2 linked regions of the Canis lupus familiaris genome follow. The protein of the gene in region 2 interacts with the protein of the main gene of each other region in a pairwise test. Links are inferred from orthologs where the notes say so. Each region holds a gene or a part of one and is shown on either strand. Other genes may lie near its edges. The genes, in order: GTF2A1 and NFYA.

Region 1 (4,496 bases), on a different chromosome or scaffold from region 2:
AAAGAAATCTCAAAATTAATGGATAGTCTCCATGCCCGTCACAAACATACCGACAACTTCCCATTTTCTGAGTATTAATGGCTTCTGCTCTAATTTCTTCCTGCAGGTCCTGGCAGGTTGCAGCTTTTCCTCTCTCGTACATCGCCTTTGATTATTTCCCCAAATATACTTTCGGTGGCATACGAACTTTGACATTTCGTTTTGCTTTGCGAGGAGGATCCACTCCTTCACTTGCCCGGACTACAGTCCACGTCTCTCCAAGTTCCTAGGGGCAGAATTAGGTGCGGCGAGCTCTGCCTTCGAAGCGGAGCACTCCCCGTTCTGCGTGACACGCTGCCCCGAAGGCGGGAGTCGGGAGCAGCGCAGGTCCGGCGCCTCCTGGTTCACACTCCGACACGTGGGCTTCCTCTGCTCGCTCCGGCGGCGAGAGGCCGCGAGACGGGGCGGCCCCACCGAGGTATTTCCTGTCAGTCCCAGGCGCGGGCCATGCGGTCACAGGATTTCGGCAGTTTTTAAAAATCGAGGGGGGACGTTATCGTGCTGTCATAATCCGGTGATATGCAGGTCGGTTTTTTTTTTTTTTTTCTTTTTTTCCTTTCGGCATTTCCACCACGGAAGTACTAGCACGCTAGTAAGGGGCCGAACCTCGGGGAAACTTAAGCCCAGGGCCTTTTAGCTGTACCGGTGGAAACGACTCAGCCGGTTCAGGGGTCATTAATTCTGAAATGTGTTAGCAGCGGGCTCAAAGCAGCTCTCCCCCTTTAGGAACACGTACACGATCTTGCCGGCGAAGGGCCCGGCCTTCGCGACGCGAGAGGAACCGACGCCTCTGAGCGCCGAGTCCACGACGAGCTCACGCCCCGAGATGACTCCGCATTTAAACTCTGCCCGGAGTCCGAGCGCTCCGGGGGCCGGAAGCGGGGCCACGTGACCGGTCCGCCTCCGCAGCCATTGCTAACGAGGCAGCCGCCAGCGCCCCTTCTGTATTTCCTCGCTTCTCCAAGCGCAGGGAGACGCAGAAACACCTGACAAGAGTTGGCTGCCAGGTAGCTTTGGACTTGAGGGTCAACACCACTCATGCTATGTCCAGCGATACTTTGCAAGCCCCTCAGCCTAAAACAGCTGTGGGGCACTTCCGCCTGGGTGGCAACCAGGTGATCACGCGAGACTTGGGGAGCCGGCCGGACGACTCGACTACCCCAGTCCCCGCGCTCCGCCAGCCCAGCACCCTCCGCTGCGCGTGACGACGCGGCCCACGGCGGCCTCCGCCCCGGCGCGCCTGCGCACGCGGCTCTCGCGGTGTCTCGCGCTCAGCCCCGCCCACCTCTGCCCCCGCCCTTTCCGCCCCTCCCTCCCCCTCCGCCCTGTCTCTCGGCGGCAGCGGCGGCGGCGGCGGCTCGCGCAGCTCGTTGGCTCACTATATAAAGGGGAGAAGCGGGCGGACCGGACGGCTGGAGCTGCAGCCGGTGGCGGCAGCGGCGGCGCGGGGAGCGGCGACCGGTGGTGGTTTCCCTCCTTGGCGCGGGGTGGGGAGCGGGCAACGCCCCCCCGGACCCCAGAAGGGTCGTGGCTTTTTTTTTTTTTTTTTTTTTTTTTTTTTTTTTTTTTTAAGGGCGATTCTCGAGGTTTTTAGCTCGGGGAGGACTGCCCCCCTCCTCCTCTTCCTCCTCCTCCTCCTCTCACCGCTCCCCTTCTACTCTTTCAGGATTCGATTTTGTTTGAAATTTTTACCCCCAATCTTGCGGTGGCTTGGGCCACCCTCCGGGTGTTTTGGTTTTCTTTTTTTTCTTTTTGGTTTTTTGTTTTTAATCTTGTTTTCTCGGGGTTGCCCCCCCTCTTGTTTGTGTTGTGTGTGGAAATGGCGAACTCGGCAAATACAAACACCGTGGTAAGGACGTGGTTTGGTGGCCGGCGGGGGCTTCGTCCGGGCGGCAGCAACGGCCGGACCGGGCGGGGGCGGGGACGGCGGCGACTCCCGGCCTCTACTCTCCTCAGCCGCCCGCGCGGCCGCCGCCGCCGCCGCCGCCGCCGCTTCCCGCCTCGGGCGGAGCGGGCCGGGGCGGCGGGCGCGGGGGGGGCGGGGGGAGGGCGCCTCGGGCTGGCGGCGGCGGCGGCGGCGGCGGCGGCGGCGGGAGGAGGGCGGGGGCGCCGGCGGGGCCTGGGGCCGCCGCGGGGCGGTCGGGGCCGCGCAGGCCGTTGGGCCGGGGCGAGCGCGCGGCTCCGGCCGCAGACCCCGGCCGCCGGGAGGGCGGGCGGGCGGGCGTGAAGCCTCCGCTTCCCCCCCTGCGCCCCCCCCGGGGGCCCGGCCGCGCCGGCTCGACACGGGCGCCCCGAGCAGCCTCCACAGACAAAACCCGCGTCTGGGGAATCGGGCGAGTCCCCAGGACCCGCCGTGTGGCCCACTTCAGTGCAGTGGAAGGCGAACGGCTACTTTGGGGGTTACTTGGGATGTTTCTGGCGGTTGTGCTTATTAGGGGGAGCCTTCACTGAGGCCATTTTATATTTCTTAAAAAAAAAAAAAAAAAGGAAAAAGGAAAGAAAAGGACGAAGGTTGAAAAGCACTTATCTCGGTTCCTTCCGAATCGGTAAAATGGCGAAGGGGAAGCAACACCCCCCCCCCCCATCGTATCTTCCACTAGCAAAAGCACCAAAGCAAACAAACAAACAAACAAACAAACAAAAAAGCCTACAGTGGTCCCAGCGCCCCTGCTTTCGCCTTGAAATTTGCCTACGTCTCCCCCCCGCCCCCCCCCCGTTTGTCCCTTTTTGGTTACTTGCGATCACGTAGGTTTGCAAAAAGCAGTCACATAAAAACAACCTTGTCCGTCACCAACGCCAATGCGATCACTAGTCCACCCCACTCTTATTTTTATTCTGACCGTAAAAACACGTTTTTGTTTTTGTTTTTTTGTTGTTTTTTTGTTTTGTTTTTTTTCCCGGTCCCAAACGCCGCAGACGAGCCCGCGGCCGCCCGACTCCGTACCGTTGGCGACTCGGGTCGATCCATCATGGCTGCGGCCGCTTACCCTGCTTTTGAGTCCCTGAGCCTTGTGGTCCTCCTCCCTTTGGCTGCCCTGTTTATATAGAGCCATTGCCGCTCTCTAATATAGACTCTGCCAGGATGGGAAGGTGCTTTTCAGGCCTACGTCACCGCCTCTCCATTTAAACACTAGATCCGGCTTTAAATAGTGAGAGCTGCTGAGAGCGGGGCTGGGAGGTGCGTGCTCCCGAGGCGAGAGGCAGGAGCGAGCCGAGCGCCCGGTTTATATCTAGGTCCTTCAGCTGCCACTGGGATTTCGCGCCCGACGGGGCCGCTTTCGGAGGGGGGGGGGGGTCCCCAAGTTTTTTTGTTTGTTTGTTTTGACGCAGCAGCTAGGGTTTCCTGCCTTTGTTGAGGGGGCGGGGGGGGGGGGAACGCAGAATTGCTGTCCCTTCTTATATTTTTATCTTTGCTTTTAAAGAGGATTGTAGCTCAGAGGTCTGTGGTCATTTTTGTATTGGGAAATGCGTTATTGTTGGGCATTTAAAGAAAACGACAACAGAAACACCGCTTCCTACATTAACTCTGAGCTGCAGGGTACTTGATGACTCTGATAGTGTTTCGTCCATCGAGTATTCAGAAAATGTGTTAGAAATAAAGCTCCTATATGCCATTGTTTTTCTGTAATGTTAGACACAAAGCTTTTTTGAAGATAAAGTGCCTAAAGCTTCAACGTGTGGACCTTATGTCCACAGTGCATCTATTGTATGTAGGGAAATTGTGAGTAATGAGAGGGGAGGCTTAGTGCAAACTGGATTTTTAAAATATTAAAATTCGAAGTTGACGTTGTCTTTTGATTTCATTGGATATTAACGTTCAAGATAGAAGTTAATTTGGTTTATTTTTCCAGTATTCTGCCTCCCCGGGGTGGGGTGTGGGGGGACTGACACTTTGGAAAGGAACCTCTTAATTAATCATGAGATTAGTGGCTCTTTAATTTACCTTTTTTTAAGTTTGGAATACCTGTGTTTTGAAAGCCAAGAAAAACCTAAATTACTTTGTATTTTGTAAAAGGCAAACATTTTGATTCAAATAAGGTTTAGCATTTTAAATAATAGCTTGGAAGTTGCTTATTTCAGATAGTACCCGCATACCCCCATGCTTTTAAAAACATCAGTTTTTGGGGATCCCTGGGTGGCTCAGTGGTTAAGTGTCTGCCTTTGGCCTGGGGCATGATTCTGGAGTCCCGGGATCGAGTCCCCCGTGGGGCTCCCTGCATGGAGCCTGCTTCTCTCTCTCTGCCTGTGTCTCTGCCTCTCTCTCTCTCTCTCTGTGTGTCTGTCATGAATAATTAGATAAAATCTTAAAAAAAAATAGGTATTTAAAAAAATCAGTTTTGGGGGGTATATCAACTTAGGAACAATTCAACTAAATTATTCTCTGTATGTGTACTTTGCGAAGAATACACATTTCCCTTTATAGTGCTTTTATGAATCCGGTAAATGGTCAGGTTGTG
Region 2 (4,240 bases):
CTATAGTAGGTGCTTCACAGGACTAACAGCTTTTAAAGTCCTAGGAGAAAAATCTTTCTTTCTTCCCCCAAAGTCAGCTGCTGTTGTGGAGCAGAAGCCCACAGGTCAGAAACTTTTTTTTTCCAATCCTGGAAAAAAATACACTTTGAGATTACTTCCATCTGAACCTCCAAAAGATAACTGCTTCTGAAAATCCCTAATCAAGATATACAGGTGCTTTTACCAATTAGTCTTTCCAGCCTAAATTCTTCCCCCTTAAACACAGCATAATTTGGTATCTCTGGACATCCTCTTCTTCTCTCTGTGCCTAATGCTCTTCCATTCTTTCCTGTCGGAAAAAATCCTATTGTCTGTCCTTCAAGGCCAATGGAAAGTGTGGCAACATCGAATCTTCCACCAAGGCTGTTAGGAGCTCACACACCAGTACTTCACAGAACTGAACTTGGCCTCATTATAGCACTAACTGTTAAATATTAATTAGCTGTCCACTTGTTAATCCACCAGGCAGGCAAGGTTCTTACTGACCTCTATCTGCTTCCTCCCCAGCATATAGATTGATGCTTGGTACATACTAACTGCTAGAGACATGGCTGTCAATGGAGATTTCGTCTCACCCTAACAGAAAACCCCACAATATTGTTAACGCTCTATAAATACCTACTTGGAAAACATTAACAGGGAGTTACAAAGTATGCTAGAAAAAAAATAATAAATCAAGAGACGGCTGTGGACTGCACTAATGGGTCAAACCTGACACGTGCAAAGTGAAAGGGGAAAAAAAAGAAAGAAAGAAATCTGCATTCCCAAAGGAGGGAGAGTCCGCCAGAGGAGCGAAGGAGAAAACTAGTAATACGAGAAACAAGTTGTGCGTGCAGCCTCCGGGAAAAGGAACGCGCAGGGCTGGCAATCTTCTAAGAGTGAGAGGTTGCAGGCACCCAGTGGACTGGCCGGCTGCACGGCCGGGACAAGAAAGGGAGACCGCTTGGTCGGACTCCAAGACGGAGGTGTGCGGTTCTTTCCCGGGCGAGCGGGGCGGGGAGAAGAGGAAATGACGAGCCAAAAGGGGGTGGTAACGGCGCCGGGCCGGAGCCCCGGGCCGAGCGTGCGGAGAGGAGGGGCGCGGCGGGGCCGGGGAGTGGGCGCGCCAACCGACCCCCTCCCGCGACCCCGGGGCCGGCGCGGCGGGCCCGCTCCCTCTCCCCGCCGCGGTCAGGGCCCCGTGGCCGCGGCGCGCACCTTCCCCGGGGCCTCACTCGCGACCCGGGGCCGGGGTGGGGGCGGGGGCGGGGGGGGGGGGCAGGCCAGCAGACCCGGCTCCCGGGGAGCCAGGGATGGCGGGGCCCCCGGAAGGTCGCCCGCCCCGAGGGCCAGAGCACGGAGGGGGCCAGGGCGGACTTGAGTGTGAGGCCGGGGCGATCTGGAGGAGACCAAGGCCCCGGGCGTGCGTGGACCTGGGCGGAGGGGCGCTGGTGGCAAGCGGGCCCACGAACCCCGAGCCTGGGGCCTGACAACTGGGCCTGAAGAGCCCAAGAAAGCGGGCGCATCCCCAACGGCACAGGCCCCCTGCAAGGGTCTGGACCCCGAGCTGCTCGCTCCGAGGGCGCCGTCCCCGCGCGGGGCGGCCCCCTGCAGGCCCCGGCCGGGAGTGGCCCGGGGCACTCCCAGGCCCCGGGCCCGGGCCGCCGGCCGCCCCGCTCGGCTGGGCTCAGCGAGACTCCCGGGGCTCGACGGGCGCCTGGGCCTCTCCTGAGTGGTCAGCGAGACCCGCCAATCGGGGCGCTGGGGCCGGCTCTGGGCCGCTGGATATTGGCTCCTCACACTCACCGTGCCTCGCTCCCCCGGTTCGCTGCCCGCGCTGATTGGCTCCAGTACCGGACCCCGAAACCCAATCAGAGGCTCCAGCCGCCGCTGCCGCCGCCACTGCCGCTGCCTCGCAAAATGGCGAACCCGAACAAAGGGGAATCGGGCCTCCCTCCAACCGCCTCCGCGCAGGCGCCTCGGAGACCACGCCCCCTAACCCCAGCAGCGGGCTCGCCCCACCCCCCGTTGGAGGAGCATCGCGCAGGCGTGCCGCGGAGCCACGCCCACTTCTCTGATTTGACACCGCCGCGGGCTGGAGGAACACGCAGGCGCCTTCGAGAGGCGCCAGATCCTTGAACTCAAACGCCGCCCTCGACATAGCACTACGCAGGCGCTAACTAGCGCCTTTGCCAACTGCCCACCCCTTTCGCTGCGGTCGCTGGAGACACCCCCCCCCCGGGGGCTAATGCGCAAGCGCCGTTCTTCCCCCACTCGCGGTGGGCTGTCTCGTTACGCATGCCCGGGCGGCGGCGGGACATTCCACGGATCTTACCGCCGGAAGTTCGGCGGCCATTACCAAAGAGTACGGGCTCGGCGGGCCAGCTAGAGGGGCTTGTTTCCGCCCCGCTCCCGCGCGGCGGGCGGCCATCTTACGTGCGCGCAATATAGGGCTGCGGCGGGATTGGCTCCGCGTCGGGGGTCCGTGCGCGGCTTCCCACCTACCAGGGCCGGATCCCGAGCCCTTCCCCGCGGGGCGGGACCTCGCAACGGCCGACTCCTGACCCGGTGGAGGGTAACCCCGGTACGTCGAGGCTCCGAGCGGGCCTTCCCGCTCTTGCCCACGGGACCCCTCGCTGGCCGCCCTCGGGGTGGGAGGCGGGGTGGCAGGCCTCGCTTGGCCGCCTTCGCCTGCGCCTTCCCGGAGAGGCCGCTTCCCGCGTCCCCCGCGTCCCCCGCGTCCCCCGCGTCCCCCGCCCTCCGGCCCGGACGCTCAGCGGGACTGTGGCCAAGCCCCTCCCTTTCTCTTCCCGGCCAGACCCACCGGGGGAAATAGGCTTGGGTCGTGCCGAGAAGAGGAGACTGCCCCAAGCCCGCCGCGCCCGGGAGCGGACAAGGGAGGCGGCGCCTCGCGGGGCCCGCCTCTCGGCCGACGACAGCGCGGAAAGCGAGCGGGCCCGGCCGCCTCTGCCCCCGCCCCCGCCCCCGCCCGGCTCGGCCCTTGCCCCAGCAGAGCTTCGCATCCCGTCCCCGAGGCCCAGCGACAAGTGGTGCGGGAAGGCATCACCAGCCAAATGGGTGGTCAGGGCGCTTTGTAGTATATCGAGGCCGCCTAAGCATTGTTCCTTCCTTTTCCCTTCTCAGCTGGAGAAACCCCTTAAGTTCTGGGAATAGCGACTCCGTATCATGGCCGGCAGCCCTCATGAAGATGCGGAAGGAAGCAGAGTGCGTAGCGACTGTTAACTTATTGGTGAACAGAAATTCAGAGTAATTGAGGTCAAAAGCATAAACACTTTTTAATTAAAGCCATAATCGAATTGTCTCTCACTCTCTCTTTTTTATTTTCTTCCCTACCTTCTCCAGCTGTTTTGCTTCAAAAAGGCTGAAAGAGTCCGGGCAGAGACCCCATCCATCACTTTGCTTTTACACATTCTTTAGTTTGTGGTGGTTGACTCCCTTAAGTTCTGCAGATCTGGTTTTCATTTTTATTTTTTTTATTTATTTGTAACTTTTAAAGATTTTATTTACTTAATCATGAGAGACCCCGAGAGGGGCGGAGACACAGGCAGGGGGAGAGGCAGGCTCTTTGGGAGCCCAAGGCTGGGACCCAATCCCAGGATGCTGGGATCACCCCCTGAGCCAAAGGCAGAGAGAGGCTCAACCACCGAGCCACCCAGGCGACCCTGTGGATCTGGTTTTCAATCGAGGAGGGGTAGAGGTGGGGGACGCAGTCAAGGGAAATGAAAGAACTAGGCTTAGTGTTTTTCTGTATCAAATAAAACCTCTTCTTTCCCTTTTCACATTTTAGATCACTTATGTGAAAGGAGACCTTTTTGCATGCCCCAAAACAGACTCTTTAGCCCACTGTATCAGTGAGGATTGTCGAATGGGTGCTGGGATAGCTGTCCTCTTCAAGAAGAAATTTGGAGGGGTGCAGGAACTGTTAAACCAACGTGAGTTTTGAAAAACAGCTCAATTAGTGTGCCTTGTGTAGAGCAGCATCATGGCCTCCTGTTATATTTTAAATATTAGACCAGGATATACATATTGAGGCGGGGCGGGGGGAGGGGGGGGGGGTTGGTTTCCTAACCACTGAGTACTTGTAACTCTTCAGATTAAGGTATTCCTCTACAAAAATGGCCTCTAGTTTGGGTCTTAACCACACCAAACTTGAATTCTTGTAAAGGTTTTTAATCTCTTCCTCTATCCTAAAACTTTCTTG

What was found.
Region 1: the proteins of NFYA (region 2) and GTF2A1 interact in binary tests that used the Homo sapiens proteins (3 or more experiments, as listed by UniProt). The two-hybrid records come from large-scale screens. The link is inferred for Canis lupus familiaris from reciprocal best matches to the Homo sapiens genes NFYA and GTF2A1.

Annotation. Positions count from the first base shown.
Region 1 is NC_049229.1:53,872,204-53,876,699, reverse strand, and holds the start of GTF2A1 (transcription initiation factor IIA subunit 1), read left to right. Parts: upstream 1-1,652; 5' UTR 1,653-1,858; coding exon 1,859-1,888; intron 1,889-3,198; exon of another isoform or gene 3,199-3,217; intron 3,218-4,496. UniProt on the Homo sapiens protein: TFIIA is a component of the transcription machinery of RNA polymerase II and plays an important role in transcriptional activation. TFIIA in a complex with TBP mediates transcriptional activity.
Region 2 is NC_049233.1:10,014,203-10,018,442, reverse strand, and holds the start of NFYA (nuclear transcription factor Y subunit alpha), read right to left. Parts: upstream 2,924-4,240; 5' UTR 2,843-2,923; intron 2,603-2,842; exon of another isoform or gene 2,127-2,602; intron 1,969-2,126; exon of another isoform or gene 1,825-1,968; intron 1,477-1,824; exon of another isoform or gene 1,452-1,476; intron 1-1,451. Other genes in the region: ADP-ribose glycohydrolase OARD1, read left to right, coding at 3,205-3,243, 3,827-3,971. UniProt on the Homo sapiens protein: Component of the sequence-specific heterotrimeric transcription factor (NF-Y) which specifically recognizes a 5'-CCAAT-3' box motif found in the promoters of its target genes.